3 linked regions of the Struthio camelus genome follow. The protein of the gene in region 2 interacts with the protein of the main gene of each other region in a biochemical or structural test. Links are inferred from orthologs where the notes say so. Each region holds a gene or a part of one and is shown on either strand. Other genes may lie near its edges.

The links.
Region 1: the proteins of ACTA1 (region 2) and GSN are reported together in a solved structure, tested with the Homo sapiens proteins (3 studies listed by BioGRID and IntAct). The link is inferred for Struthio camelus from reciprocal best matches to the Homo sapiens genes ACTA1 and GSN.
Region 3: the proteins of ACTA1 (region 2) and GC are reported together in a solved structure, tested with the Homo sapiens proteins (2 studies listed by BioGRID and IntAct). The link is inferred for Struthio camelus from reciprocal best matches to the Homo sapiens genes ACTA1 and GC.

What each region holds. Positions count from the first base shown.
Region 1 is NC_090961.1:2,896,269-2,906,613, forward strand, and holds the start of GSN (gelsolin), read right to left. Parts: upstream 4,916-10,345; 5' UTR 4,787-4,915; coding exon 4,637-4,786; intron 3,424-4,636; coding exon 3,222-3,423; intron 2,222-3,221; coding exon 2,067-2,221; intron 1,064-2,066; coding exon 902-1,063; intron 681-901; coding exon 531-680; intron 234-530; coding exon 144-233; intron 1-143. UniProt on the Homo sapiens protein: Calcium-regulated, actin-modulating protein that binds to the plus (or barbed) ends of actin monomers or filaments, preventing monomer exchange (end-blocking or capping).
Region 2 is NC_090944.1:91,454,350-91,465,168, reverse strand, and holds ACTA1 (actin, alpha skeletal muscle), read left to right. Parts: upstream 1-6,487; 5' UTR 6,488-6,723; intron 6,724-6,891; 5' UTR 6,892-6,903; coding exon 6,904-7,032; intron 7,033-7,224; coding exon 7,225-7,549; intron 7,550-7,676; coding exon 7,677-7,838; intron 7,839-8,068; coding exon 8,069-8,260; intron 8,261-8,380; coding exon 8,381-8,562; intron 8,563-8,726; coding exon 8,727-8,870; 3' UTR 8,871-9,144; downstream 9,145-10,819. Other genes in the region: nuclear pore complex protein Nup133, read left to right, coding at 829-917, 2,002-2,138. UniProt on the Homo sapiens protein: Actins are highly conserved proteins that are involved in various types of cell motility and are ubiquitously expressed in all eukaryotic cells.
Region 3 is NC_090945.1:7,194,798-7,205,568, reverse strand, and holds the start of GC (vitamin D-binding protein), read left to right. Parts: upstream 1-6,016; 5' UTR 6,017-6,245; coding exon 6,246-6,321; intron 6,322-6,974; coding exon 6,975-7,044; intron 7,045-7,428; coding exon 7,429-7,561; intron 7,562-7,843; coding exon 7,844-8,055; intron 8,056-8,172; coding exon 8,173-8,305; intron 8,306-8,462; coding exon 8,463-8,557; intron 8,558-9,050; coding exon 9,051-9,180; intron 9,181-9,326; coding exon 9,327-9,529; intron 9,530-9,664; coding exon 9,665-9,797; intron 9,798-9,917; coding exon 9,918-10,015; intron 10,016-10,111; coding exon 10,112-10,244; intron 10,245-10,368; coding exon 10,369-10,422; 3' UTR 10,423-10,771. UniProt on the Homo sapiens protein: Involved in vitamin D transport and storage, scavenging of extracellular G-actin, enhancement of the chemotactic activity of C5 alpha for neutrophils in inflammation and macrophage activation.

The sequences.
Region 1 (10,345 bases), on a different chromosome or scaffold from region 2:
ACTTAAGAAGCTAACAGTAGAACTAGGCTGAAGCAGGACTCAGATCAGATCAGCTCTTCTCCTCCATTCCAGCTCCATCTAATTGTGCAAGGATGACCACCCTCCACAAGGTTATTTGTCAGGGTCCATCTGTTTCTCGTTACCTTATAGAGTTTAGCCAGCTTTCTATTGGCTGTATCAGTTTTAGTTTCATCAGAAGCTCCCACTGGCAAACTGGGCTTTGGTCCCAGAACCTGCGAGAGAGAGAAACAACATTGCTAGCTGATCCACAAGAATCTCTGTTCCCCAGATGCTCCAACCACAAGGAACAAGTAGAAGAAACTTTCATATCAAGAACGGCAAAAATAACACACACTAATCTCCCAGTAATGCAGAGGCCCAAGCCTCCATCATTACGAATTGAGCAACTTTATGCTACTAACACTTGATATGTAAAGATACCCCATACTGAGCCTGTCTACCCATCCCAATCATTGTTCCACATACCACCCTTCCCATTCCAGCACAGAAAAATGGATGAAGTGAATAACCTGAAGCATTTCTTCCCGTTCTGATCCATCCTCCACCACATAGACTTTGGCCCGGCCGTTCCGCTCGTTGTCCCGAATTCCCTTGGCCAGCACAGTGGCCTTCAGCCGTTCTTGGCGGTTGCTGTTTGAGCCACACCATTGATAGATATCCTGGGGGGAAAGACAAAGACCATGCAGCTGCACAGTGTCAGAGCCTAAAAGGATGAGATGGCTGTATGGCCAGGCCTGAAAGATGTTAAAATATTGGCTAAATAATGTTTCAGAATGCTCAACACTTGACATCACTTCAATTTTTCTTCACATACTGATTTAGTCAGACCTCTCTCCCAGCCCTGAAAGTTCACTAAACCTGTCTTTTACATGGTACTTACACTGCCAAGGTCAAGGATGAAACAGTCCCCAGTGTTGAAGCTCTCCCAGGTCACAGGGACCTCAGTTGCTCGGACTGTTCGCCTGCCTTTGACCTGAAGAAGCCTCTGGACAGCTACTTCATTGGGAACCACGTGCCTGAAGCCAGAAGCCACACCACCAGCCTAAGGGAAAAAGAAGAAAATCAATTCATGCTTGTGCTTTTACTCCAGAAAGAACTGAAAATCCTATTGATTTGCTATCTGTGAGCATTTTTTGCCTCTCTCAGGAAAGAAGGCCAGCAGTAGCTTACAGAGGGAGTTAGTTTGCCCCAGTCTGGGTTTTCATATATCAATATATCCATCACCCTGCAAATTTCTGTGGTATCTATTCTATGGGACACTGATACAACACAGTTGGAGATCTCCAGATTTGAAGAGGATGATGAAAGTTGAGGTATTTGTAGGGTTTTGACTGCTGGGGTGAGAGGTGCCTGACTACCAGAAACTACCTCATTATCAGTATTCACTTTCTCTGCTGATAAAGAGATACTTGCAAATTCCTTGTCCACTTAGGCAATGGGACTAACGTCAGGACTACATGTAAGTATTTTGCAAGAATTTGACTTGGTATCAGTTTCCTTGTGCCGCTGGATTCCTAACAAACATAACTATTCCTGACCATAAGCTTCTACTTCTTCTATTCCATTTTTACTGCAATGGGATGAAAGAGTAATTCCCACACCTATTCTTCTACTTTACCAAAATATTATGAATGCCAGGGAGGTGGGCTGAGCACACAAAAAGAGATGGGAAAGGTCAAACTCTGTTCGGTAAGTGGGGAGAAATTATTAAATTACTGAGTAGGCGTTTCCCATTAACTCAGATTGCTGTTTCTTAAATTAATTCCAGACATCTTGAGACTGTTCTTTCCTCTGCTTCTCAAAGGAAAACAAAACTCTGATTTCTAAAATTTCCTGGGGCTTTGCTTGTGTATTACTAATTCAGCCAAAGCTCTCCCATTGGGATCTGCTGTTCTCCACCCTGTCAGTTCCAACTCATTGAAAACATCTGGTCAAGAGTGGGTTTTTTTAGCAGCTATCAAAACGGCAACTCTTCTTCTTCTGAAGATGTCAATCCTTGCAGACTTGATTCAGTTTGGCAGTATAAAGAGCCAGTGATTGCCTACCTTGTACTTGATGCCAGATTTGAAGTACCCCAGGAAAGTTGAGGACTCGTGGCCTTGCACTTCACGATGCTGGACAGCCTTCCCCTGAAGGTAGTCATCCATCTGGACAGTGAATATGGCAGCTGCCCCACGCTCATCTTGAGAGCTTTCATCTCCTAAGAAATGAAAAGGCAACAGCTTGGAGACAATGTGAGGTTTCTGCCTCTTATGTTTAACCATGCAAAAATACTAGGGAGAAAGGAGATCACTGGAAAGCTTAGTTTCCAGAAAGGTCTGCAGAATAGCCATCTCCAAATAATGACCCCAAATAGCAGTACAAACCGTATATTTTGCTGGCAGGCTCATTACACCATTGTAACTGCTGCAGCCCCACTGAGGAACCACTGCTTTACAGCTACGTCTTTGATAGGCATCATATACTCTCCCTTTACTTTTTCACCTTGTCCTGGAAGAAAATTTGCTAGAGGCCAAATGCACCAATCTCCAAATGCAGCTGAAGTAGCAGCAAGGTGTTGTCAGGCTTTATGAAGGCTATAGAGATCAGTGGGGCACCAAGTTCCACATCAGCTTGCCTCTCAGGTCTACCAGGCGTTCTTTAGTGGGGAAAGGCTACTGGCAGATGGCAGACATGACAAAACACCATATTTGTATCCTACATTGCTTTGACTATAACTTGTTCCATGAGTCTTGGTTTTGCAAGATGTGGAGAAAGCCTTATCGTGTAACTCACTTACTGCAGAAGGCCAGTCAGCAGGTTTAAATTTCAGGAAAAAAAAAAAAAATCCGTTCTGAGCCAGGAGGATAATTACTGACTACTGATCTTTCAATAGAAAGATTTCAGTAGCCTCCTTCATCTGAGACCTCACCTTCTCTCTGGACCTGACAGTTTTGGAGAATAGGGATGTCTTCTGTCATCTTGACCAGAAAAGCCTTTCTTTCGGCACAATGCAACTTCTAAGTACAGAGATGGCGGCATTTACGATTGCAGAAACCACTTCAAATATTTAAGGTGAGTAGTACTATATGCACATAAAATTGCATTCTCTCTATAGCTATTTCCTCTGGTAACCCTTACTGGGCAATGCTAGACTAGTGAGAGGAAGAGAGTTCACTCTGGGCTCCTGGTTCAGTGAGGGCACTCCCATCAGACCTTACCTAACCAGAAATGCAAGTCGTACTGGAGGTTCCCACTCCGCTGCTTGATGGTGTTCAGCACAAGGTAGGAATCTCCTGTGAAGAAGTCTCCATACAGATTTTTTGGCACTGGTACCAAATCAAATTTCTCAATCCGCCAGATCTGAAGGCCAGGTTCCTTCCCAGCCTTCAAAAACTCGGCGTGTTCCACCATGCTGACAGGCTAGAGGCAAGACAGAGAATGTTGTTCAATAGGCACAGTGCACAGAAGCCCTTGTTTAGATTATATTGCCTCTGATCTCTTAACTATTGTTCCAGGCAACAAGTGGAAATTTTCCTATTTTCTCCTGCGTTGAATTTTACAAAAATCTCTCAACTGACCACTGTTAAACTTCCATTCAGCTCTACTTCCTGACTTATTGCTCCCTAGACTCTCCTTTCTCCATTCTTTGTCGGTAAGTCTACCTCTGTTGATTTTACTCTATATATTACATTTTCTTTCTTTTCTAATCTATAGCTTTTTAATAGGGCAGATAAATAATAGACAAATTCCCTTGCTGACTCTTCTTTTCTCTAAACGTCGCATGAGTTCCAAGAATCTAGGAAATAAACATACTCCCTTTAACTATACATGTTGTATACCTTGCACAATCTTTATTTAATGTTTCCTAAAACATAGATAATCTTATCTGTCTCTCTCTGGAAAATGTTATGAATATCATCACAGAGTTAGATTAACATGTCTCTCATAACTTCTCTGTTTATAATCCTGGCACACATTACTTCAGTACTTCTACATAACTGTTCTCTTCTAGGAATTACGCTAATATACATAACATCCTGTCCTGAAGGACATTGCAATTTTGGTTTAACACATATATTTTCATACTAATGCCGTATATTAACAATATGCATTTTAACAAATGTTGGGGGCAGTTTTATATAACTATACTGTGAAAGAATTCAGTCTGGTAACACCTAAAGGAAATAAAACACTTTAGTAGTATTGGCAAAGGGAGTTTGTCCACATATTATAGCATGCCTTTGAGTGATATCAGATAATAGGGAGGAAAAAATTAAAATGTTATATTAGAAGTATACAGTATTTTGACAAAGAAGATAGTTCATAGTAGCTGATGGACAAAAGTACAATATGCTCAGCTTTCAAGGCAGAAATAAAGAATGTTACAAACTAGAAAGCAAAATAGCAAGTTAGCTACTAAACAGATCCCTAAACTGAAATCCGATATCAAACAGACAAAGATGGAAAACAGTGAACTTACTGTTTTGATTCCTGACAGCCTGACTTAATTTCTCCCTAATTCCCCCGACAAAATTGGACAAAATCCTTACAAAGAGTTAGAAAAGAGTGCAACTCTTGCAAGTAATTGAAAAACAAAAGTTTTTCAATGTTTAATTGCAATGTATTCACTTACCACAGCTGAAAGCACAACAGCTGCTGTAACGATATAGCCAAGCCCTGCAACAGACACGGAGCTAACACAGTTCAGCTTCAGAGCCATTGTGCAAAATACAGTGAAAAATATATAATTGAAGTCTTGTTTGCACTGCAACTTAAATAGCATTTCTAACAGCAAATGGGCTTCTCCCTTCTTCTGCAGAAGCTGTAGGGAGTCCTTCCTTCTCTTGCTGTTAATGAAGATGCACTGCAGAATCCAGTCTTTTATCACATACAAACACACCCACTCCCTCAGCAATACAGGGGCGTAGCATGTTTGTGCACACGGTCCTCTTGGAAGCCTCAGATACTAAATCTGCCATTAACAGAGGCTTAAACCCAACAGGCAATAATTCAGGACAGTATGCTATCCATTATAGCCAACAGTGCAATTATGTTCAGACAAGCCAAATATCTAGTCAGAAGGCCAATAACAGAGGGAGAAATGAAGGGACATCAGCAACAGAGGCAACATTTTATCAGCTGAAAGCTGCAGATAAATGGAAAGCTGATGAGATGCAGAGGAATAGAAAGGCTGTTCAGATGGCAAGGAGCACAGAGAAAAAGATTTTGGAAATGAGAAAAAGAACAGAGAAGAACTGAAAGGATACAGCAGTATAGTATAATCTATATAATACAATCTGAGGATGGAAGGAATATGCCCTCATCTCTCTGAATTTGTCAAGAGTGGCAAGAAGCAAAATTCAGTATGTGCTTTGTGTGTCTTGCACCTGGATGCCATCTCCATACAAGCTTGTATCAGGGTGGAGGGGTGAGAGAGAGACCAAGGTATTTCAGCTCATGTGTTACCAAGGGAGCATTAGTAAGACTATGAGGCAGGTGAGAGAACAAGAGCTAATTCAGTAATTTCACAACCCAGTGTTACTGAGGCTGCATCGAGACCTTGTGACATGACTCTAGCAGCCATCAAACCTTTCAGTTCAATGGAACTACAACAGTATGCCTGATAGTAGCACGCTGAAGATCTGCCACCAGCAACAGAGCCAGTAAAGCGCTTGCTCTGTCCAACTTTCATGCACGTCAGCAAGTAAATCTATCGCATTTCCCAAGTGTTTTAAGTAAACTGTGCAGTACGAGTTGTATACCATGCTCCACTGTGGCATCTCATGAGCAGATAGCCATACGCTCTTACTAGACAGCGGAATAGAGGTACCAGCAGCAGATCCGTAACACCGTGTCTGCCAAACACTGCCCAAGAGTTGCTCAGACTTGCTCTGTGGTGTGTGGCTATGTACATCCTAGAAGGTCAGACAGGAATACCAGGAGGAATGTGACTAATGCCTACATGTATTTGCATTGCTGGTTACACTTTTGCTCTTAATGCGCATTGGAAAGAACTACTGACAGTCTGAGCTTCCTGCTTTCATAATCTCTCAAAAGACGGTTAAATAAGGGGCCAAATCCTTCACCTATTTAAGACCATAACAAAGTTTCCACAAGGGAAAGATCAGATCCCCTTTTCTGTGCTTTCTCCTCTCTCCATGACGATATTTTCTCTCTTTCTTTGTCTCTCACTAGGACATACTGTTTCTTTCTCTGTTGTCCAACCTCATGCATTGTGTTTTGACAGTTCATCCTGGCAAACTCTGTTCTCCTTAATGTACCTCTGACAAATTTCACTGCAATTTCTCAAACTGAAAATAAATAATAAAAACAATGTATTTGTCTTCAAAGTATTTCTGATCTCTGTGAAGGAAGTTCAGAGTGCCAGAGGTCTGAAAAGCAGTAAAAAATTTTGGAACCCTAACTGTGCACTGAATCAGTTCTAGCAGTCCTCAGAAATCAGCTGTGAACGGCTTCTGCAGCTGTAGCATACCCAAAATAAGATCACTGGATTGCATAACATTAGAAAGAGATGGGTCCCTTCCAAATGGAAAAATACTTTTGACTTCTTATTAATAAATATGTGTACAGTGCCGAACTTAGCAAAATTTGCAGAGTAGGTGTGAAGACCTAGGATAATTTTCCTTGTTAGCATCCCATTTTAGGGTAACTTCACACAGGTATATGCTCATAAGCATGTATGGTATTTTGGAAAAAAAAAAAAATTGGATTTGGCCTTCTAATTAACTTGGCATTTGGTAAGTTTTGCCTTCAATCCAAGCTTGCAATGTCAGTTAGTTGCAGAAGGCAAACACAGGCAAAAGAAGCAAAGAGGACTACAATGAATAAATTGTATATTATAGCGTTCTTTGGTAAAGATTCAGCTAAAGCATGTCAGGAGGGAATAAGTGTAATATACTCCCACAGCTGGTATGGTCTATTACTGTTGTCAACAAATGTTGTATTGTTAAATCAAGCCACAGAAATCTGTGCTCTGGATGTTTTATTGGTGGCATACGCCAGATGCGATTACAAGCACCATACCGAAAAGGATGTGCTGTCGGCAATCATGGGAAAAAGGCAAATTTCAAGCTGATGTTAGTAGAACTGTCCAGCTTAGTCACAGAAATGGTGCTATGCAGAGCCAACATCTTATGCAAAGAAAAGTTATTTAAGGAAAAAAAAGAAAAGGGCTTGGAAAACAGGATTTCAGTGCAGATGGATCATCTGAACGAAACTTGGCTGTATAGCAGTAAAAACAATAATTTAAGAAAAAAAGTGCAGTGTTTTGAGCAAACAGCAGAAGGCAACAACTTATGTTATCCAGATGTGTGGTTAACAGAATGATGACAAGCCAATCTGAGAACATCTTATAATGGACACTAGCCTGTAGAAATAATTACAGGTATACATTCCCTACTTAGAACACAGAACATGTCAGACATGATATGCAAGGGAAGCTGACAATGTGCAAGGGACTCTGGTTGTCTCAGAGCAATGGCATAATTTCTAGATTGGTTTTTCAATAAAGTATTAGATTATCTTCCTGAGGCTGGAAGCTGTTCACTTCAGAGAAAAGGCCAGAAGAGTCAGGGAGACCCTCTGCTCCCTGGTCTCTCTCCTCAGCTCCCTGGTCTCTCTCCTCAGCCAATGTGATGTTGCTACCTTGCTGTATATCTTCTCTGTTATGGTGTTTTTAAAAGCCCTGGTAGAAGCCCCAGCAGATGCTTCTACTGCCTCCTGTCTGAGACTTGGTAGTTTTCTCTCCCAGTATCCAATCCAAAACATCTTTCCTATTTCTACCTTGCCCTCTGTAATAAACACTTCTCTCTGCCTCCCTCCTTCCTTAAATATTTCCATTTGTGTTCTTTACATTTACCTATATGGCTGTGCCTCCTGTTCTCCTGTCACGGAGTCACTCTACCCAAGACTTGTACTTTCCCCTCATAAACTATCAGCATTTTCACCATTTGTCTTTACATTTTTCTCAATTTGTTTCTGTTAAGAAGGTGCCTGGTTCTGGACCTGATCAGATGTGGCTCCACCTGAACTATAAAGAACAAACCTGCCCTGTTCCATTTCCAGACATATCTGTAGACAGAGAGCCCAGAATCATTTATTCTTTCTGTCCCCATCGCACTGCAAAGACAATTAAAGGGAACAACTAATGTCTAGTTCTCCACATCAAACACGCTGCCGCACCTTTGCGCCTACCGCCATTTAAAGCGTCTAATAATGCCATCTAAAGTATTTTTTTAAGGAGGCAGTATCATCCAGTACAGACAGAAGAGAAGAGAAAAATCTTTCTTCTGTTAGGCTCCAGACCAATTCCTACTCAACCTCAAACATTCAGAGCAGCTTACCAAAGCTGAAGGAATGCACACATTTTACCAACACATCCTCAGATTTCTGATACTGCCAGAGCATTTCCGATCACAGAACGTACAAAACAGCAATTTTTGAAGTTTTTTTAATTAAAAATATATTAAAGCCAGATTAAATACACTGGAATGGATCTAAATATTTATCAGCCAATTTATCTGTATGATATAGCAAAGATTAACATATAGGGCTTTCCTCACAACACTTTGTACTCTGCTGCCTCTAAGACTATAAAGAGAATATATATATTTTAACCCATTAAATTAAGTTTCTGGATGCTTTTTTTCTGGATACTTACTGAAGATGTGCAATTGGAAAAGAAGAGGTGAAAAATAATTGGTAAAAGTGGATGAAAGACAAAACAATTGCAGTAGTTCATTTAAATAAATTCAATTGAAAAAGGGATTATGTGTTGAGGAGGAAAAAGATATTTTAAGTGAACGTCTACAGGAAACAGAAACCCAGAATTCTGACAATTTCACTAACAGCTTTCTGATTTAAAACAAAGAGTGTGTTGGGGAGGCTTATTTTTGTTTGTCTGACAGTGGAGAGAGAACTCAGCTCCTTTACATTCAAAAAACCCCTATACAATATTTTACTCTTCTTGTAGCTTTTATTCAGTAACCGACCACTTATGAGAGAAAAATAAATATACATTTTCTTTGAGGATAACATTTTTCTTTGGAGCTGCAGTTAAACTGTGGCAATGCACACATGTATATACGCACAGATACAGTAAGGGCTTATCCACACAGGGCTTCTCAGGAAAGCTTGACTGAATTAAATGAGACTGTGAAATAAACGGCTGTAGGACAAATCACCATATGGTTGTTCCCATTTACAACTCAAGTGTCTTTAGTTCATGATAAGCTCAGTTAATTTGTCTTAACTTCCTACATAAAAAGGCCCACGCAGGAAGGTCTGCAGCCAACATAATAATACACCATGGAGCATCTAAAACACCTGCTGCTTACTTCTGGAACCATTCCTGCATTTCTAAACGGCAAAGGCTGTACTTTTTATTTTAATGGATTATACTTGCAGAGCATCAAATAACTGAGTTTCTAAAATATGGAGTGAGCAGTAAATCTTAGTATAGACTCTATCCAAACAGCCTTCATGCTGCAAAAATCCCTCTTGTGCACCAATCCTTATTGCACCCTGGAGGCAAATGGTTGCATTTCCATCCAGCTAATTCTCTCCTTCTGTCTGTTTCAGAGCAGGCTTAGATTTACAGCCCTAGATTTGCAGTGTCCTGCCCTGGGTACAGAACACAACTGCATATTCCAGGGTCTCCCGCCTCCAGGAGCTCCGTGGACCTGACGTGCCACAGCTGCCATGGGGAGGGCCTGGCTTCACTGCCTCCTCATTCCCTTACCTGCAGCACCGGGAGTGTTCGGACGTCAGCTCCAATGCCTGGGACAAGCTTTCCCCCTCACTCTATCACTGGTATTACATAGTCACTATTTGCCAAAAATTGTCTGCAGAATATGGACTGCTCCAAAGGAATAATATATCTCCTCAGAAAAAAAGAGACTCCATTGTCTGATAGTATTCAAGACCTCCTCTATCAAGCACCAGGAGGATAAGTAAATTGCCACTGTATTTTTGCTGCAACAACAGGAAAACCGTAAGTTGCTGTGGTTTGCAAAGAGCAAAGTTAGATCGTCCTGCTATCGTGATCAGCCCTAATTAAATCAACAGGTTGTACTTGTGGCAATAACACACCCAGTTTAAGAGCTATACGCTCCAAACTGCTGCCCGAAATGATGCCAAAGAAGAGGTCAGACATATCACAAAGCAAGCAATTTGTTTGCTTTAGGTTTAGCTATTTCTACACTGCGAAGAGAATCTACTTTTTTGACCTTAAGTTTTACTTAATTAAACATTATTTGAGTCTTAACTTGCAAATCAGTGGCACATGGAAAGTATGCCACTTAAACAGCCATTTCTTTTTTTC
Region 2 (10,819 bases):
GTCCAGATCTGTTGCAACCATGTTCCACGGGCTAAACGAGAGCCTTGTTAGTTTGGGAACTGACATGAGAGACCTCTTTTTGTCTGGCAGTTTAACACAAGGAAGAGGGGACGTTACCAGCTGAGAGGTTAGAATCACTGCAAGGAAAGTTAGGTTGCTGTTGTCTTAAAACCGTTCCATATAAAGCTCTGCAAATATGAAAAATTTTCACTTAAAACGACCCTTCTCTTATAAACATCTTTGGGGGGTTTTCTTATCACAAATGAGACTTGCACTGACAAATTTTCACGTTCATGTTTAATCACAAATGAGACTCAGGAAATAGTTTTTTGTGTGCTGTTACAGGCTTGCAAATTACATTTGTCCATCTTTTTCCCCTCCTTTTCCCATTTTTCAAACATGTTGGCAAATTACGTCTCCTGCTTTACTGTACTAAAAGATAAATGTTTAATGATTGTGGGATGATGGAAATCATTGTTGAGACTAGTTTTTATCTTAACGGATAATACTTCTGCTTTTATCAGAGAAATAAGTAATGTTTGCTTTTACAGTTTAGAAGATGAGAAGCATTTATATTGTCCTCCTAACTCGATTACCTTATAGTAATGTAATTACATGACAGTTTTACTTTTGACATAAAGAAAAACTAACCCAGGACAGAAAAACCTCTTGCTTTGAGCTGTAGACAAGTATATAACACTTCCTGTATGAACATTTATTAATCATCTTGGATAATTTGTCAAATTTCCTAGGTGTCGTTTGTTGTTAGTGTTGCGTTTTATTTCATGTGCTCAACTGTTCACCCAATTTATTTTTTGTGACCTGCAGGTGGTCCAATTCAGAAGGTAAAGACGATCCAATTGAAGCATCTAAAGATAGTATATTTGTGAAAATATTACAAAAACTCTTGAAAGAAGGTAAAATGTAAATAAAAGTAAACTTCTTGAACTTGTTTCGTTTTAAAGCTGCTTAAAACGAACAGCTAATACCTAAGGAGGAGGATAAATAATTTCTCAGAACAATAAAAACTTCCGCATGCAATGCAGTATGTAATTACAATCACAGATACAGAATCACTTCTCTTATGAAGTGATAAGGAGATGCAAGACTAGCAGATTCCTTGGTTATAATCTCAGTAGATCCTCAAATTACTTGCTCAGTAGGGCAGCAGTCAGCTTTTCAGCAGTTTGTTATCACACAATAAAATGTCTTCTGGAACCAAATGCTTATATTCTGTAAAATAAGAGATTAAGATTTAATGGTCTGTCACTTAAAAGAGCTTACTCTAATTTAGCTTGAATGTTCTTCCCTGCCCCTCCCCCCCCCTTTTCCCTCACCCCAAGAAAAAGCAAAAATGAAACAAAACCCCCGTTAAGGTAAAATGGACCAAGGAAGGTTACGGCCGTAGAAGTTACAGACTCTGGAAAAAAAAAATCTAAGTAGCTTAGAAGACTCAAAGAAATTCAGTGTTAATATTACTATACACTCTTTTTTTTTTTTTCCAGAACTGGAAAAGTTCCACATCATAAATGTTTTTCAAAACAGTTCTAGTTTTGTGTTTTCAATCCTATCAGTTTCTTTCCTTCTGTAAGATTCCCACAGCCCAACTTGAAATGTTGCAACCCACATTAGGAGTATTTGTAGGAGTATTTGTTTCATGACTTTTTTTTCTTTTTCTTGTCTTTTTTTTTTTCCCCCAAAGTGCTACGTGGCTTGGATTTAAGTTTTAAATTTCTTAGGTTTAAGGATTGTTTAGGTTTATTCATAGAATTCACCGTGTTTTTTAAATCATTATGAGAAGCTCTGTTTGGGTAGGAAGTATTTGAATCTTGAATTTTGACTCCTAGTTTTGCAGAATAACCAGTTTTGTATTTCTTGACATGCGCAATAGAATTAACTCTTCTCAGTTCCAGAGAGTAGTTTCACTGAGACAGGCACAGGTGTTTGCATTAGCACTTAAGTATTTTTATCAGTTCTATAATGAAAAGTTTTGTTTTGTAGGCGTTCAGTTAAGTGAATACTTGCCAGAAGTGAAAGACTTGCTGCAAGCGGACGAACTTGGCAACTTGAAATCTAATCCTTACTTCGAATTTGTGTTAAAGGCAAACTACGAACTCTACGTTCAGGGACAAGCATGATGAATCTCACTATTTCTTTTTTAATATTTTTTTTCTAAAGGATTGTTAAATTCGTGTATACTTTTTTTACATTCTGTTCTTATTTTGTTAAAACTTTGTAATAAACTTTATATATAGTAATGTGCTTGGTCTTTACAATTTATAAATGTTACACTCCAGTCGTGGGGTGGTGGTGGTGGTTTGTTTTCAGGTGAAAGAAAAAGGGTTGGTTTTTTTTTTTTTTGTTTTTTTTTTCCATTTTCTGTACCTTTGTAAACTTCCTACTTTATATCTTCATTCAGCATTTGGGAGGGCTAAAGATGCACAGATACAAAGGGTGAAACCTGGGACCCACTGAAGAAGGTGGAATCTTTTGCACTCATTTCACTGGTCTTCACAGAAGAACATACTTGAAAACATTAATGCTGCATGACTGTTGAGCTTATTTAGAAAATAAATTATTATTCTGTAACATAACTCTGCTCTCAAGGTTTTTTGTATACTTTGGACTGATAGAACACCTTTAGTTTGAAGTATCTTCTGCCATAGGAACTAGGTAAATTCAACTTTGCATTAAAGAATACTGGCACGAAAAGGATAATCGTCTTGTCCTAAGTCACTCAGCTTGCCAGTGACAGTTAGGAAGAAAGCCCCGTTCTCATTCAAAGTCCCTGTGGTCCAGCCACTACACCATTCTTCCAGGTTATATACGTGAACTTAAATTTACTTACATTTTCAATGCATTTCAACTCTTTTTTCCATTTGTAATGTTCATATAAATTATATTCAGATTTTTAGAGTAAAGCTAAAACAATGGGAGTTAAGAGCTTACCGCGCAGTCATTCACCATAACTGCTTGAACCTAGGCTCTCAGGAAACCTAGAAAGCAGCTATCAAAGTGGGAGTCCAGCATGATCTTCCTTACTCGGTGACTCATTCTTTACTAGTTGATGCTACTGCTTCCCCGGTCCCAGTAAGTTATCTCTAACATGGTGGTAAAAAAATACCATATAACTTTTCGGTTTTAAATTGCTGGTAGCAATTTAAATCTAAAATTCAGTTAAAGTGACTTTAATATGACAAGCTGCACCTTTCTTTTGCAAGTAGCTCGACAGCCAGAGCGTGAATACAGAGCAACTTGCATGCCCTTATGTTTTACTTGTCTGGCTGCGTGCCTGCTGCAACAACTTGATCCAACAGCTGAGAAGGTCAGAAGTTAAATTGGTTGAAGAGAATCCAGTTTCTAGTTTTAAAAGCACAGCTCCCCTTCCGTTTCTTCCCCTCCTCCCTGTACTAATACAGTAAGCTGGGCAGAGAGTCTGAACATGTTTGGAAGAATAGATTTATCTAGAGAGGTTCTAACTAATAAGGGAAAGAAATGCATTAGCAGTCCTCTTCTAAGGTTGTTCTAAGACGCAAACTTTGCTGTTCTGCCGTCTTGCATGGTTCACAGAAGCGTGGCCGTCACTCCTAGCTGTGGCTTCAAACAAATGAATCCTTTAAAGCCCTAGAATTCCACATGCTTTTTAAAATATGCTTTTAAAAGTTGTTGCAGCTGATTGACAAACTTAACATTTCTGGAGAAATAAATAATCTAACAAATGATTGGCACCCCTTGATATATGTTCCGCGGCTGAACTTTTACTGGACGCTCAAATTTTACTTGAAGAGAAAGCTCTTGATTGACCGCAGTAAAACACTTCAGGGATATCTTGTCCTTCTCCAACTCACCTTCCTAGACTGCTGACCACCTGTATTCTGTGAGGATCGGCAAGAGTAAGCCGAAGAAAACTGGGGAAGTACATGTTTCTGATAATCCTCAGCTACAGATCTGCTTCAGGGTGTCTGGCTTATTTGGCAGATGTTTGCTCCCTGCAGCGTGAAAGATTTCTCCAGGTTCTCAGGAAACTCAGCCATATAGTTTTCACTACTACTGTTTTATTCTGCTGCTGGGTTAGGAGCTACTTGGCATTTGTACAATGTCTTTCATCTGACTATTGCCAAAACAGAAGGCTACAGGCAATGAGTTTACTTAAATAAAACCTCATTAAAATAACTTCCATGCCTAAACTGAAGTTAAATGTTATTGTACTAGAAATATTGAATTGGTTCACTACTCTGTTACGAAGCTTGAAAAGGTTGAGATTTTGGACTATTCCTCTTCCCCACGCGTTATTTCATTACGTAACAACCTGTTCTTTTACAGAACTGTCTTCTCAAATTACTGTATGGGGAAGATGCCTTCATTTACGTATCAAAGACTACACAATAGTTCTAAATTGTTTTCCGAGTGTAACAAACAGTAAATAAATTACTGCTGGTTTGGGAGAAAAAACACCCACACACCCAGTTTTCAGTTAAAAGAGTTTAAGGAGCATAGATGGCTCCTTTGGAATAAGGAGTTGTATGTTTCTTAAATATTTATTTTCTCATTAATTCAAAATATACACAGTACAAAATGTCCACAGGTCTATACTCAATTGTCACTAGAGCAGCAGGAAAGTTTATAAATTGTGATTTGTGACAAGTTTCAGAAAAGATTTTCCTTGTGCCCCGCTCTCTCTTGGAAACTAATTTCAATTGCTTTGTGACTTATGACCAAAATCAAATTGTTTTAGTGAGCATAATTAAATATCAGAGCTCCCTGCAGAAAGTGATCTCTTAGGCAGAACTGTAAGAAACTAGCATTGCCATCAGGCATTTTGCTGTAAACTGTATTTGGGAAGAGGGAGAATTCAGAGAAACTGAAGGGATAGAGTAGATCCATGCTTGTGTCAGGTTTCATTGAAAGGAGCATTAAGAATGTTTTTCAGTGATGTTAATGTTTCAGGCAGGAATTCTGTTATAAACGTCACTGGATTTCAAATTCAACATCTGACCAACACAACTCGCTGTATTTTAGACTCGATGGCTGAGCGTTACAGTTCTGTGCATAGATTTGATGGCTGTGATTCCTTTAAGTGCTTTCAGGCTTTCAATTTCTGTGCTGTCAGTTGTAGATGACAGACTTGAAGAATAAAATAAGAAGTTGAAGAACAGCATGAGAAAATAGCATATTTTATCTCCAGTGTGCTGTAATGCAGTAACAAGACAGCAAACGGCAATCTATAGCAGAACAAAACAGGGTGCAGCCAGCGGTGAAGGGGCGTGCTGCCAAACGAGGGGATGCAGAAATTATCAGAAGAGGAGCCGTCTCCTTCTCTGTTGACCCTTCTGCTGTGCCTTGCAGTGAGGGAAACGCAGTTACTGAAATGCCATTGCTTTCAGGAGACTCCTTGCAGCAAGAATGTTTCTGGTTTAGTATTTCTTCTTCCTCCTCTCCGGACTTCCTTTCACCAAATTTCAAAAGGGTTTGCCCTTGGCCAGTTGTACCTTCAGAGAAAGTCTTGAAGGTTGATGTGCAGCAGCTTGCTGGGGAAGTTGCAAACCTACTTGCGTTACCTCCTCGCCTTGCTGCTTCTTTCCGTTGGTAGTCAGAATTTCTGTATGAAATCTTCCAGGTCTCCCCACATGGCATCTCTGCTTAAGTATCCATAGCTGAAGGAAACGGATTGTCCCTCTTTACTGAGGAACAGTGCCTGCATCTGGTCAGAGATGACTTGTCTGTGAGACCACACTGCCTTTTAGGAGGGTGAGCTGCTGTGTGATACCTACACAGGATGCCTCTGCTGCCGGCCAGGCTGAGCTCAGCAGTCCAGTCACGGGCACCCGGTAAGGGCACCAGCATCCACTTCTGCGTCAGGCTTTTGGGATCAGCACAGTCCCGGGCATGAATGCTTCCCCAGGTTTCTCTTGAAGCGTTTGACTAACTGTCGTTATCCTGCACGCTTATTTTCCGTGTTTACATCACATCCAAGAAAAAAACACGTAACTTAGCGTGTAAAGCTGTGGCTTTCACATGGGCTAAACATAAAGCCCGACCCCATCCGCACCTGGAAGGCACGCGGAGGGGCGGGTGTTGCACGGAAACCACGAAGCCGCCTTTCCACTTCAGCTTCGCCTACGCCTTCGCGCCGCTTCCCCTCCCGGGAGGTAGCCTGCACCGGCACTTCTAGGAAAAAAAGGCGAAGCTTTGTAAGGATTTTACCGCTTCTTAAAGCCCGTGAGCACCTTGTGACGAGGCTGAGGCCCGCAGGCTTCACCTAGAGCAGCCGCCGAGCCGGGGCCGGGGCGCGTCCCCTCGGGCGGCCGCCGGGCGCCCCTGCCCCACCGCGCCGCCGCCGCCGCCTCCCACCTGCTTTGCCCTTAACGGGCCAGGCGGGTGCCGGGGGATATTTCGGACAGGCTGGCGGCCGGCCCCTTGCCCTGGCCGGGGAGGAGGCGGGGAGCGGGGGGGGGGCCCACGGCAGACGCTCCTTATACGGCCGGGCCTCTCTCACCTGGGCCGCGGCCAGGAGCGCCTTGTTTGGGCAGCGCCGGGGCCGGGGGCCGCGGCCGGGCCCGACGCCCAAATATGGAGACGGTCGGGGCCGCATTCCTGGGGGCGGCCGCCGCCCGCCCGCCCGCCCCCATAAAAGCCGGCGGGGCCGGCCGCGACCCCCCAGCCAGCCGGCCAGCAGCCGCAGCCCTCCCTGCCCAGCGGCCCCGAGCCCGCAGCCCGCCCTAGGTAAGCAGCGCCGCCGCCGTCGGAGGCCGCCCTCGACGCCCCCCGGGCTGGCGGACGGGCCGCGCCGTCGGGGGTGGGTAGCGGGGGCAGGGGCAGGGGCAGGGGCAGAGGCAGAGGCAGAGGCAGGCATCCCCGCCGCCGCGGCTGAGCCCCTCTGCCCTCCCGCAGAAAGCCGACACCATGTGCGACGAGGACGAGACCACCGCGCTCGTGTGCGACAACGGCTCCGGCCTGGTGAAGGCTGGCTTCGCCGGGGACGATGCCCCCAGAGCCGTGTTCCCCTCCATCGTGGGCCGCCCCCGCCATCAGGTACCGTCTTGCTGCTCCCTCCCCCCCCACCCCCCCAAGCCCATCCTCCCGCGGACCTGCGCCCGGTGCCCTGGGCGCTGCCCCGTCCCGCGCTCGGCCCCACGTGGCTCCGCACACGCGGAGCGGGAGCTCGCTGCCCGCCTGGGAGTCCCGCGGAGAGGTTGCTGAGCACCCCCTTTTCTTGCCCCGCAGGGCGTCATGGTGGGTATGGGTCAGAAGGACTCCTACGTAGGGGATGAAGCTCAGAGCAAGAGAGGTATCCTGACCCTGAAGTACCCCATTGAACACGGCATCATCACAAACTGGGACGACATGGAGAAGATCTGGCACCACACCTTCTACAACGAGCTGCGCGTGGCCCCTGAGGAGCACCCCACCCTCCTCACTGAGGCCCCCCTTAACCCCAAAGCTAACCGTGAAAAGATGACCCAGATCATGTTTGAGACCTTCAATGTGCCCGCCATGTATGTGGCCATCCAGGCTGTGCTGTCCCTGTACGCCTCTGGCCGTACCACTGGTGAGTGCAAGTGTCCCACAGGACACCCTTCTCCTGGGGACACCCAGGACTGGTCCCCTACAGCTCTGCTCCCTAGTGCAAGGCCATTTGTGAGCTCCGTCTCAGGTGCTGCTCTTTGCTTTCCAAGGTATCGTGCTGGACTCTGGCGATGGTGTGACACACAACGTGCCCATCTATGAAGGGTATGCCCTGCCTCATGCCATCATGCGCTTGGATCTGGCCGGCCGGGACCTCACTGACTACCTGATGAAGATCCTGACTGAGCGTGGCTACTCCTTCGTCACCACAGGTAAGCACTGTTCCCTCCCCGGCATGTCCCCCCTCACTTCCACAGACACCCCCTGCACCCCCAGGGGTGCTGCCACCTCTCACTCCTTGGCAAGCTCTGGGAGTGCTCCCAGCTGGGAACACACATATGGTCAGGGAGGGGGCTGGAGTCCCTGCAGACCCGTGGGGGGGGACTCGGGCATGCCCTGTTCCCCCCTTGCAATCACTGACGCCTTTGCTCCCCCCTAACAGCTGAACGCGAGATCGTCCGCGACATCAAGGAGAAGCTGTGCTATGTGGCGCTGGACTTTGAGAACGAGATGGCCACTGCTGCCTCCTCCTCCTCCCTGGAAAAAAGCTACGAGCTGCCTGATGGGCAGGTCATCACCATCGGCAATGAACGTTTCCGCTGCCCAGAGACCCTCTTCCAGCCCTCCTTCATTGGTGTGTGCCCCCTCCCCTCTTTCCTCTCTTACCAGCTCTTCCCTCCCTCCTGAGTCTTGCCGCAGAGCTCTCACTTGGTGCCTAACTTGTGCCTGCCTTTCCCCCCTCCCCTGCTGCCAGGTATGGAGTCTGCAGGGATCCATGAGACCACCTACAACAGCATCATGAAGTGTGACATTGACATCAGGAAGGACCTGTACGCCAACAACGTCATGTCTGGGGGTACCACCATGTACCCAGGTATTGCTGACCGCATGCAGAAGGAGATCACAGCCCTGGCCCCCAGCACAATGAAGATCAAGGTAAGACTGGAACATGAGAGACCCGGGCACACACCTCCGGGGATGTCCCTCTTCCCCTCCTGCAGACAGCAGGTGGAGCTGTGCACAGCCCTAAGAAAAGGCAGCGCCTGTCACCGCAGCGGGTGCTTGTTCGCTGATCTCCTCTCTTTCTTGGCTTCTTCTAGATCATCGCCCCACCTGAGCGTAAGTACTCTGTCTGGATTGGTGGCTCCATCCTGGCCTCCCTGTCTACCTTCCAGCAGATGTGGATCACAAAGCAGGAATACGATGAAGCTGGCCCATCCATTGTCCACCGTAAATGCTTCTAAACATGTTTACATGATCACTTTGCCAACCATGCTCAGGATGACGACCTTGTACGTTGCAGGCTGCTGAGGACCTGCAACAGCCATGTAACTTTCTATTTTGTAACGATTTCTGGTTACCGTTGCTGCAAAGCTCCACGTGACACGGTGTATGTAAAGTGTACATAAATTAATTTATTTTACCTCCTTTTGTTTGTTTTTAAAACCAATGCCCTGTGGAAGGAAACAAAAAACTTCAAGAAGCATTAAATCATCAGTCATTCTGTCACGCCCCCGATGCAGTTGTTTCTGTCATCATTTGCTTGGTTTCTTCCGTCAGTTTTGCGTCACTCACTGACGTCGCCTGTTGCATCCCCACGTGGTTTAACGGGGAGGGTGGGAAGCCGGGGCGAGAGCAGCGACCAGGGCACTGGGTGGAGGGAGCTGAAGGAGGACAGGGGAGGGGGGCAGGACCCACCCTGGTCTGGAGACAGCCCTGCCTGGCTCGCTTGGGTTGGAGAAGGTCCGGTCCTGCTGTGAGCAGCCCTGGGGTGGCCGTGTGTTGCACCACGCTCCTGCAGGGTGGCCATCGTTCCCCCCCTCAACACACACCCGATGTGTTCCCCCTGGGTGCCGCGGGGAAAGGGTTACCTGGAGCCTGACTCAGCTGTGGCTGGCAAAGGATTTTATGTGGCTCAGCCTGCCAAAAAAGTAGCCCTGGCCTGTCTGTGCAGCTCCAAGCCCTGATGGACAGAGGCAGGGCTGGGGCTGGGGGCAGGTGGCGGGTACGGGTTAAATAAAGAGCTTTCCACTCCGCTTATGGGAAACCCGCCTGCGCTCGCTCTGTCCCCGGGGAGCCCGCGGGGCCGAGGGCACCCGGGGCCACTTCCTCACCCTGCCTGACACGCTCGCCCTTGCCAGCCGCCGCACCGGGATCCCCGCTCCTCTGCCCTCCCAGACCAGCCTGGCCCGGGGCCGGACGCCTCACGCAGGGGCTCCCGCATGGAGAAATACCTGCGAGGGCTCCCCCTTGCCGCGGGTGTTTGCCTACCCTTTCTGGGGTGGGAGGTTGGGAAGCTGCCCCCCGCCCCTCCCCTCTCCCTTGCCTTCCGCTTTGCTCCCAGGAGCCGCCCCGAAGCCCCGCCAGGCGCCAGGTGCCAGGCTTGGCACAGCCCCCCGGGACGGGCGCAGGCGAGGGGCCGGCAGCCCTGGGAGGAGGACTCCTGCTGGGGCGGTGGGCCCAGGCAGGAAAGCGGTGCTTGCGTTTTGTGGCGTTTTTCCGGGTTCCTACTGCTGTGGGAGCCGGTAGCGCTGGGAAAATGATGCGTTGCGGCTGAACTTGCAGCCCAGGGAGGGTTTTGCTCTCCTGCGACTACGTTAAGGGCACACTTGCTTAGCATTTTGGCTGGTACATAAATAAACCCTAAAGCCCTATGCTGAAGGAAAAGGCTGCAGAAGGAGCTGGCCTGACCCTTCGCTGGGACCTGGGGCAGGGAGGCCCTGGAGCAGCGCCGGGAGCTGTTATCTCGCTCCGAACAGCAGGGATCAGGAAGGCAGAGGCACGTTTGCTTCTTAAAAAACCACACACAGAAGACAGTTCACGACCTTTTCCTTTCTGTATTTATAAGTTCTTGTGCAGTGGCACGTATTTAAACAGACAGCTCTTTGCTGGGATTTGGCGAGATGCTTAATGGATGTAAAGGCCTCAGTACTCGACCCCCGATCTAGGGTTCAACCGTGGCTTAAGTGGTGTTATGAGATGGATTTTGGGTCCAGCTCCTGTTATTAGATTAAAAGGCTGTTTTTGGAAGAGCAGATAAAAGTTAAGTTAGAAAAGCAGCCTCTGGATAAGACGGTGCTCGCTGTGGGGTAACCACACACAGACTCAGCTTTTCTACGATTAAAGTTAGGGTCCTAAACCCACAGTAAATAGGTTGTTTTTTTTTCGGAAGTGGTGCTGAGCCATGCACCCC
Region 3 (10,771 bases), on a different chromosome or scaffold from region 2:
GCGCCCTGGAGCACGACTTTGGGTCCCCGCGCTAGCGGTAGGGGAGTGACACGCAGCTCTCGAGCGAGCCAAAGCCAACATCATTTTAAAAAGCCGATGGTCATTTTTGCTCCCAAGCTCTTCCCTTTGAGCTGATTTTATTGAACGAAAGAGCCAGATCCCTCTGACCAGTAAATAGCTGATTTGCTCCCTGGTGGAGCAACTGGTTTATTCGCGTGGCTTCGATGGACGCAACGCGATGCTCTTCGCGATGACCGTCACAAGCGAGGCGCTGGCTCAGCCGCAGGGATTTTGGCTCGGCTCCATCCTCGAGCGTTTCTGGGGCTGCCGGGGCGGCACCGCAGCCCTCGCGGCACAGCGCTGGCCCACGGTTTCCCACGCCTTGTCCCACTTCCGCGCTTGGAGGAAGCAGACGGGGAATTTCTCACATCCCACGGGGGCAGCAGAGGGGTTCACGGCCCAGCCGGCAGCTTCACATCCCCGAGCAAGGGCCACCCGCAGCAAGCCACAAACCGAAGGAGAATACGCTGAGGACGCTTAGTAAAAACATGAGATGGCAAATAACAGAAACACATGGATCAGGTTTTGCAGTGACCCCCCGCCCCGAGGTTCCCACACGCACCAGGGGCCACCAGCCCATCCCCAAAGTCAGTCACTGGGAGATCAAGGCAAAGCTCACAGTATTGAGCAGCAGCATGATGCTCCAACACATCTGGCCCCCTGCCTGCCCCCCTCCCCCCCCCCCCAAAAAAACCCCAAATTTAGAGAGATGACTGAGGAGCAGGAGGGCAGCAGAGCCCTTCTGGCCCAATAGGGGCCAGCCCCAGCTGCAGACCTTTTCTCATCGCTCCCTACTCAGCCGGGAAGCGCCAGCACCTGCAGGGCTGCCCCAACCACAGGTGAGCAGGGGCCGGCCGGCGTCTGCGGCCAAAAGCAGCACCCCCCCCCAAAAAAAAAAAAAGGAGGTAAAAAAGGTGAACAAAAAAAGAAAACCCCAAAGTGCTGGGTTGCACATAAGCGAGCGTTGGGGCATTATTAACGAGCCTGCTACGGTAACGAAGCCTGGGGAGTTATCGTTACCCTTCTGGTTGTCAGCCTGCATCCGGACCAGATACGGACCGTCCCACCCAGCCCGCGCGGTTTCTGTCGTCGATTAACCGGCTTTCCTCTCGCACGGTAGTTAGCCAAGTGACGTTACCTCCCGTAGCGCTGGGTCGGAGGGTGGAAGAACCCGTCTCTCGTTCCACACCTCATTTCACCCAACCCAATTATTAAGCACCCCTGCCAGATCGAAATAAAATTTTAGAAGGGCTTTAGACGCTTTGTGGCAACTGTGGCCGGGGCTGAAGAGTCAACGGCCCTAAGCAAAGCCGAGCCCCGTGCGCGCGCCCGCCCGCCTGCCTCTGAGAGACGCGTCCATTGTGCTTTTTTGACTTATTTCCCTCTGTTAACGTCTGAGCAGCCGCCAAGGCGCTCGAGCGGGACGCCGAGGCCGCAGGACAAAGCGTTGCCGCGGCCGCGTTAGCAGCTCTGCTTTCCGAGGGTCGGCGAGCGGTTTGGAAAGAAGAAAGGGTTCACCGAGGATCCATCCAAAACGCGGGCTGCCCCGGGCAGGTTCCCTTCTAGACCTTATATTACGGCCCGGAGCGACGGGTTTCGTAGCAGCCGGAGCCTCCGGCAGGTAGCACGCCACGCGCCACGGCTGCGCTCTAGGACTTTATTGGCAGGTTTTCACCGCTGCTGTTGATGACGCCCGTTGGGCACCGGCCAGGCTGCTGGTGGAGCTCTTCTTGGTGTCTCGGCTGGTCGAAATCGCCGCTCGTTTGCTTGGGTTGCTCTGAGGCCGGGGGTGGCGGCGGCGGCGGCGACAGTGGTGGTGGTGGCAGCGGTTCCCTCGCCGGGTGGATGGAGAGGACGCACGTGGGACCCGCGTCACGGGAGTTCACCTCTTCTTCCAGTAGTAGTAGGTTGCGCAGACGCGTACGTACCCTGCCGGGGAAACGCGCAGCCGCGAATTAAAGCCTGCGGCGGGGCCGGGGTTGGGGAGGAGAAGGCTTCACCCAACCCGTCCACCCGTCGAAGGAGTTTCAGCTTTCCCCGGCGGCCCCGGTGCTTCCCTCCCCTGCCCCTGCCCCTGCCCCTGCCCCGGCGCCGGGCCGGCTGCCGCCGTCACCTTTCTTCTTGCCCAGCGGTTTGTCGTAGAATTTCCTATTTCGTCTGTTCCTCCTGCTGGGGGGGACCCGGCGGTGGCCGCCGGCAGCCTGCTCGGCGCCCCTGTGACTCGCCATGGCCGCCGCAGCCTAGTCGCCCAGCGGGCCCCGAGGGCCGCACACCATGTCTCGCCCGGCCGCGCCGGCGCCGCGGAGCCGTGTGAGCGCCGGGCGGGTGGCGCAGCCCCCTTTTCACGCCACCGGCATTGTGAAGGCGCGCCGACCACACACAGGGGCCGTTGCCGGGCGGCGGGGCGGGCGGGTGGGCTGGGGGCCAGTCGGCGTCCGAGGGAATGGTTTTGCTCGCGTGGTCGCCCGAGCACCTCTGCCCCCCTCCCCAGCTCCACTTTCCCTGACACCTCCAGTGACCTTGACCTGTCCCTGCACTTAAGCTCATAAAACATGGTTTCACAGAATCACAGAATGGTTGAGGTTGGGAGGGACCTCTGGAGATCATCTAGTCCAACCTCCCTGCTCTAGCAGGGTCCTCTAGAGCATATTGCCCAGGGTCACATCCAGACGGGTTTTGAATGTCTCCAGCAAAGGAGACTCCACTACCTCTCTGGGCAACCTCTTCCAGCGCTCTGTCACCCTCACAGTGAAGAAGTTTTTCCTCATGTTCAGATGGAACTTCCTGTGGTTCAGTTTGTGCCCGTTGCCTCTTGTCCTGTCGCTGGGCACCACGGAGAAGATTGGCCTCATCATCTTGACACACCCCCCTTCACATTTCAAGAGGGGAATCAGCCCAGCTGTTGGTCCAGCCGCTCGGGGCTAAATTGCTGGGTGGGATGGCTCTTTCCCCACGCGCCGCATCTCCACTCGTGAGACAAGCGGGGAGGAGTTGCCTGCTCGGGCCATTTATCCCCTGCCTAGGTTTGTCCTAGGTGGTCGGCCCACCAGCGGGTCCCTTCACGTCTCAAAACAGCCTAAGAGCTTTTTGAGTCCGTTTGCAGAAGACCTTCATCCTCCTCTTGTGTCCCTTGCTCCACGCAGCAGGTCAGGAGGCACATTTGGGGGGGGGTGCTCCCTCGTCACTGGCTGTGCGTGTACGTGCCTGGGCAGCAAGAGCAAACGATGAGCTGCTCTTTCCAATCAGGGGCCATGGTGGGTAAATCCTAAAAACGTAAGAATTGGCATTCCTCAAAAATTGAGATTTTTTTTTTAAGGTTCTGCTTTGAAGAGCTAGAAGAGGACTTCTGCGGGGAGAAAGGGCAAACGGAAAGCTAGCTCTGAGGAGACAGTGCACAGCTCTAAAACACTCCCAAGAGAAAATATGGGCATTTGGGACACATGGACCTAAGAAAGGCGAATGAGAAAACTTACGGGATGGCTCAGCTTGCTTAAGTTTGACTTCTAGGAGTGACTTTCAAGCAAGCATGGCACGGTTGGGAGTTTCTCCTGCTCGGGACGTGAGCCTTGGCCAGTTTTCAGGCTTGGACAGCGTGCCTGGGCCATGCCTGCAAGCTCTGGTGCGACCTCCCGGCAGGGCCAGCTTCAGGACAGGAGCGCTGGTGTCTGGGAAGGAACAATTTAACACGAGGGTGCAGGACCCGCCAAGGCAGTTGCTGGACTTATGGTGCTGCCCTGCACCACTGCAGGTTGCAAGCAGAGCTGCACCCTGGAAAAAAGGCAGGGGCAGGGGGGGAACAAATTCCTTTTCCGCTTTCTCAATGGGGAAAGAGGGCAGAGCGCTTTGCACGAGCTGCCGAGGGTCACTCAGCGAGCGCGTGGCAGAGCCAGGACACAAACCCACGTCACCTGAGTTATCGGCCCCAGGGGTTTCTTTAGCAGCAGGAGGGGAAGAGACGGTCAGGCTTCTTTCTTCCCCATCTTCATCTTCTGGGTATTTTCCTGATGAAAAGCCCTTAATGCGTGGTGCAAGCGCCGGAGGTTGTTGGCTGAAGTTGTTCTTCATTACCCAAAGGGCTGCGCTTTGCTGCTTAAGTCCTTACCATTAACGTAATTGCCCTTTCTGCTTTTATTGCTGTCCCCGTTGATCAGAAAGCGTGTGCGATGGTTAGTTTTAGCTGCCCACAGCCATCCAGTATATCCATGCAGCTGCAGAGGGGACTGCATTAAGAGATGGATTAAAAACAAACCGAGACAGAGAAGTTGCGGCTCTTCAACAGCCTTGCGCTCGCCCAGCAAGCGCGTGTCGTCTTCCTGCTCCCCCCCATCCCTGAAAGGGCAGGAAAGGTACGGGGAGGTCACGTCATTCTGGGGGCAGCCCAAGGGGTCCTACAGAAACAGAAAAGTCAGATGAAACCCCTTGCTTTTCCAGCCAGGGTCCAGCCAAGCGAAACGTGTTGAGAAGCTTTGGTCTTACCAATGCTTCCCCTCAGCCGTCAGCCCAGCGAATCCACCGCGGAGGCTGAGGCAGCGCTGGCCTGGGTGTCACGGGCATCGCGGAGTCGGTGTGGTGGGGCAACATCACAAGAAAAATGTGGGAGCAGCTTCGAGCCTGTCTGAGGGCGGGATGAGAACCCAAAATAGCCGGGGGGTGGTGGTGGTGGCTGGGTGTGGTGGTGGCTGGGTGTGGTGGTGGTGGTGGCTGGGTGTGGTGGTGGCTGGTGGCTGGTGGTGGCTGGTGGTGACGGTGGTGGTGGCTGGGTGTGGTGGTGGTGGTGGCTGGGTGTGGTGGTGGTGGTGGCTGGGTGTGGTGGTGGCTGGCGGCTGGTGGTGGTGGTGGTGGTGGTGGCTGGGTGTGGTAGTGGCTGGTGGTGGTGGTGGCTGGTGACTGGTGGTGGTGGCAGGTGGTGGTGGTGGCTGGCGGTGCTGGTGGTGGTGGTGGTGACTGGTGGTGGTGGTGGCTGGTGGCTGGTGGTGGTGGTGGCTGGGTGCGGTGGTGGTGGTGGCTGGGTGTGGTGGTGGCTGGTGGCTAGTGGTGGTGGTGGTGGTGGCGGTGGCAGCTGGGTTGGGGGGGACGGCGACAACGACGCATCCTGGGCCGAATTAATCATTAGCTGCACTGTGGGCGATTGGGCAAGTGGTTCAAAGGGACGGGAGGGCAGGCGGGAGCACATTGACCTGTTTGCAGAGCGGGGACGCGCTTGCAGGCAGGCAAACAAGCGCCGAGCCAGAGGGTTCGCGGCAGCTGGGAAGGGCGAGGGCTGCAGCAGCCCGCCGGCTGGTTTTCGCATCCCGTTGCAGCGCTGGAGCAGCTGTTGAGCCTCCCCCCCCACTTCGCAGCGATTTTTACGAGCACCTCTCTTAAGTGTGTTTTAACAGATCCCTGCGTTTCTGCAAAAAATACACCGAGCGGGTGGTGATTCTCCAGCGCGCTGCTGCGAAATTGCAGCTTAAATTGCGGAGGGGAGTCAGAAGAGAAAAAATAAAATAAAATAAAAAAATCTGTGTTTACACCAAAATAACCTATCGTCTGGGTTTATACCCCAGGCACCTAGTAATCAAGCAGTCTAATGGCTTGTGAAGTCTTCTGACCGTCAAAGAAAGCCGCATCGCATTTCGGCATGCCGCTACTCTGTAAGAACTGCAGATTTGGGAAAAAAGATAGAAAAAAAAGAAGAAAAAAAAAAAAAAGCTCCGCCGAGGGGTTAGCGTTTTGGCTGCCGTCCCCATCTCAGCGGGGGTCGCCGGCAGCGTGCGTCGGGGTCTCAGCGCGCCCGGGGCGGCGGCGGTGGCGGTCACCCCGACCCGGCACCCCGGCGCCGTTACCTATTTCCTCCTCCCTGCACCTCTTTTTTCCCCGCATTGCACCTTTCCCCCCATTGCACCTCTTTTTTCGCAAGGTTAATCATTAAAAACCGGCCGGGTTTCGGGGGCGCTGGCGCCCTGCGCCGTGTGTTTGCCTTCGCCCCTCGGGCCGCGCTATCTCCGGCAGGCCAAGGATGCTGAGCCTCTGCCCCCCGCCGCCCCCACCCCGGGGGGGCAGCAGCATTAATCATTCACCGGGCGACGCGCGGTAGCTCCATATAAAGGCCGGGGTGGTGGTGGTGGTGGTGGGGGCTCTGCACGGAGCAGCCAGCCAAGGGGCGAACGGCGCCGCCACGAGCCCGGCGGGGACCCGACTGCAACATGACGGGAGCTCTGGGGCGGCTGCTGCTGCCGCTGCTGCTGCTGCTGGCGGCGCTGGGTGACGCCGAGCACCGCGGTAAGCGCCCCGAAAGCAGCCGCAATGGGTGCGACGGCCGGGCGTACCTGGGTTTTTTTATTTTTTTGGGGGGGGGGGTGGTATCATCCTTTTGCAGTAAGGGCTGAGCGGCATGGTGGGAGCGAGAGAGGACGGCGTCGCGGGGCCTCTTTTGCCGGCGTGGCGGGGGGGGGGGGGGGGTTAGACTTTCTGCTCCCCTTTGCAGGCGCCGTTTCCCCGAAAAAAGCCCTCGGGCCGAAACTAGGCAAGGGGCAAAGTCTTGCTGCCCTCAGAGCTCAGCAGGCCATCGTACACCTTCCCCTCCCTCCCCCCCCCAAAAAAACCCGGCCAAAAGCGCAAGCGTTTCTTGGGCGCCGGTTTCTGAAAATGAAAATAAATCAAGCGAGTTTTCACTGGCCAGGGGCTTATCCGCCCAACCTCTTCTCGGCAACATCATCAAACCGTCGTCCCTGCGCGCGCCTTCCCCCGTCTGCAATTCCCCGGCAAGGTCCCGTCGAGGTCGCAGCAGAGACGCCAGCGCCAAAGGCCTAACTCAACGCGGCCTGCAGCAAAACCGATCCCGTTCTCGCGGGCGGATGAGCGGCGGCGTTGCTGCCGCGGCGGTCGATCGTGGCCCCCCCCCTTCACCCCCCACCCTTTCTCTGGGCTTACAGGTAAAGCCTACGTCCGGGACAAAGTATGTCAAGAATACAAGACCATGGGGAAGGACAACTTCCGAGCCCTGTACGTATCTCCTCCGACCTTTGCTTTGGCACATCAGCCGTGACCAAGGGGGCGGGAGGGGTTAAAAAAAAAAAACCCAAAACCATAGAAACAGGAAGATTTCCCCGCTGTCTGGAAAGGAGGCCTCCTCTTGCTTTCAACGGGCCGGCTTGCAGGAGAAGAGTTGGCTTCTCGCTGGGCCTACTCGAACCCCCCTGTTAGGTGCCTAAAGGACCAGGAGTTAGAGCAGAGGTGGCACCTAACGCCCTTAACGTCCTCTGAAAACCGTACCTGCCCTCCGGCGTCGGGGCGGCGGCGGAAGGAAGGAAGGAAGGCAACGTGGACACCCTGGGGCCAGGCCACACGTAAAAACGCGGCTTTCTCCCCCCTTGTGTTTGCTCCCAGCACGATTGTCATGAACAGCAGGAAGTTCTCCAACGCCACCTTCGAGGAGATCAGCCACCTGGTGCGCGAAATAGTCTCGCTGGCCGAAACCTGCTGCGCCGAGGGCGCCGACCCCTCGTGCTACGACGCCGGGGTAGGTCGAGCAGAACGCGGCGGCGGCCGGCGGCCGGCAGGAGACATTTAATTCGGGGAAAGAGCTTCCAGCCTGGGGCAGGCACCTTTCTACACAGAGCTCCTTTCAGCCTTTTCCGCCTGTTTTTTTCAGGCACGTGCCCAAAAATAATGGGATTTACCCTCCCGGTGCATTAAATTTTGGGCTCTTTCTCCCCCCCAACCCCTCTCCCTGGCAGCACAGGGGGCTCGGGCGACCCCTCGCGCCCTCCCTCTGACTCCTCTTGCCTCTGCGCCCCCGCAGTCGTCGGCGCTGTCGGCCAAGTCCTGCGACCCCAACTCGCCTTTCCCGCACCACGCCGGGGCGGGCGCCTGCTGCGTCCACACCGGCCTCGAGCGCAAGCTCTGCCTGGCCGCCCTGCAGCACCCGCCCCGCGAGGTTCCCGGCTACGCGGAGCCGGCCGGCGACGAGCTCTGCGCCGCCTTCGCCAAGGACCCCAAGGACTTCGCTGACAGGTGAGGGCCGCGCCGCCGGCTGCGAAACCCCACCACTACCACCACCACCACAACCCTTCATCTGGTGGTGGCCCGCCGCGGTGGCGAGGTCTCCCAGCCAGCCCACCTGCCCCGCAGGTTCCTCTACGAGTACGCCAGCAACTACGGCCAGGCGCCGCTGCCCGTGCTCCTGGGCTCCGCCAGGAGCTTCCTCTCCATGGTCTCCACGTGCTGCGTCTCCCCGGCGCCCACCGCCTGCTTCTTGAAAGAGGTGAGTTGTCCCTCTCCCCCCACCCCCTGCCCCCAACCCCGGCCGGCTTTCGGAGGCGGACGTGGTTTTGAAGGAGGTTGCTTCAAAACCGGCGGCGGCGGCGGCGGCGGCGGCACCGCGAGCGCCTGACGCCCCAGACGTTTCCTTCTCGTTGCAGAAGCTGCAAAGGAAAACCCTCTCCATGCTCACGCTCATGTCGAACAGGGTCTGCTCCCGCTTCGCGGCCTACGGCAAGGAGAAAATCAAGTTCAGGTAAAAGAGGGCCGACGACGCTTTTCCGCCAGCCCGGCCACCCGCTTCCCTCTCTGCTTTCTCAAGCGAGGAGCTGTGAGAGCCAGCGCACCGGGCTGGCCCGCGGCAAGGCAGCCCGCTTAGCAGAGCGCGTCCCACGCTCCCTCTCCCGCGCCCTTTTTCCTCCTCGAGAAGTAACGCAAAGCTTCAGTTTCCTCCCGCAGTTGGGCAAAAATATGCCAAGGCGAGTCGCATCCCCCCCCCACCCCTGCCAAAGCTGTAGTGAGACAGCGCGCTGGCCGGGTCGGCACCCGTGCAGCAAACCGAGCGGGGCGGTGGGGGCGGGGGGGTCTCGTAGGGAGGAAGTGAGGCTTTAAACCCCCACCAGGTCTTCACGGGGCAGGTCACCAGGTCTTCACGGGGTAGGTCACCAGGTCTTCACGAGGTAGGTCAGGAGAACGAAGAGCCGCGGGACCTACGCGTCCCCCTCTTGCGCTTTGCCTCCCCCCCGCAGCTACCTAACAACGCTCGCCCAGAAGGCGCCAAGCGCTTCGTTTGAGGAAGTCTTCCCTCTGGCGGAGGACGCCGCCGAGGTGTTTGCCCAGTGCTGCGGCTCGACGGCTGAAGACTGCATGCAGAAGAAGGTAGGGAAGTCCTGGGGGTTGGGTGGAGGGGGGGACACCGGTGCTCGAGGTCGAAGATCTGGGGTGGAGGGGGGCAGCGATGGCGAGAGCGCCGCCGGGGGGGGGTTCCTCCAGGCGTGCGCCCTCCTCTGCCTCCCCCGCCGCAGCTGTCGGAGCACGCCGCCAAGGTCTGCGGCGCGCTGGCGGCCAAAGACGAGAGGTTGGCCGGCTGCTGCGAGGGGAAGGACGCCCTGCGCGGCTACTTCTGCCTCTCGGCCCTGAAAGCGGCCCAGTCGCCCCCGCTGCCCGACCTCCGGCAGCCCACCGACGAGCAGCTCTGCGGCGCCGACCGGGCCCGTCATGTCGACAGGTGAGCGGAGGCGGCGGTGGCCTCCAGGGCTTCACCCCCGCCCTCCGCCGGGGGGGTTGTGGCGGGGAGCGTTCGCCCCGTGGCCTCGGCCTCGCCTCCCCCCCGTTGTGTTGCCTTCCCCACCCCGCGCTCCAGGTACGCGTTCGAGCTGGCGCGGCGGCAACCCAGCGTCCCGGACGTCTTCCTCGGCCGGCTGTTTGACGCCTCCGAGGCCGTCATCCGGGAGTGCTGCGGCGCCGAGGACGCCTCGGCCTGCCTCGACGGCAAGGTGGGCGCCTTGCCCCCCCCCCCGACCCACCCCTCCAAAAAAAAACCCTCCGCAGAGGCCTTTCCCCGGGGGGGGGGGGTGTGTGCTGGCGACCCACCCTCCACCCTTGTCCGCCCGCAGCGGCAGCGCATGAGAGGCGAGCTCGCCACCTTCCTGGAGCGGGCGAGCGAGCTGTGCGGCCCCTACGCCCAGCTGGATTTCCTCGACTTCAAGAAGCGGTGAGGCCCCGGAGGCGGCCGGACGCGAGAGCCCCCCCCCCCGCCCCGGCTCTCACCCTCCGCCCTGACTCCCCCAACCCCGGCCCCGACCGACAGGCTAAAAGAAAAGCTGGGGAAGACGGTGCCCGGCGCGAGCCCCGAGCGCCTGGCGGAGCTGGCCGACCGCCGGGCCGACTTCGCCTCCACCTGCTGCTCGGCCAACTCGCCGCCCCTCTACTGCGCCCGCCAGGTAAAGCGAGGGGCCCCGCCGGCCCCGGGCCCTCGGCGGGCCTGCCCCCGCGCGGGCCCGTCAGGAAAAACAAACAGACAAAAACCAAAAGTCACGCCGGGCCGGCCTTTCGCCTCTTTTGCAGATGGCCGCCGAGATGGGGCAGACGTGCGACTCCGGCCCCTGCCTGCTGCTCTAGAGCGGGGCGGCCGCACCACCGGCGGTAGAGACCTCCTCTCCCCCCCGCCCCAACACCAAACACACCACGGCGACGGCCTGGCCCTGGTCGCCCGGACCTACGTCCCGAAACGGCAGTGGGGCAGGGGGCGGGGAGCTGGGATTTTTGGGGCAGGGTGGGGGGGAAACCTCTGGGTTGAGGCTGGGGTCGCCGGAGGAGGAGGAGGTCCTGGGTGTTGCAAGCCCGGTGGCAACGATGGGAGGTGAAAAGAGGGGGGGGGGTCTGCAAAGCACCAGCTTTTTTGGGGGGGGTTGGAGGGGGTGCAGTAGGCCACAAGGAAGGAGGCAGGAGCGTCGCAGAGGGAGATGCC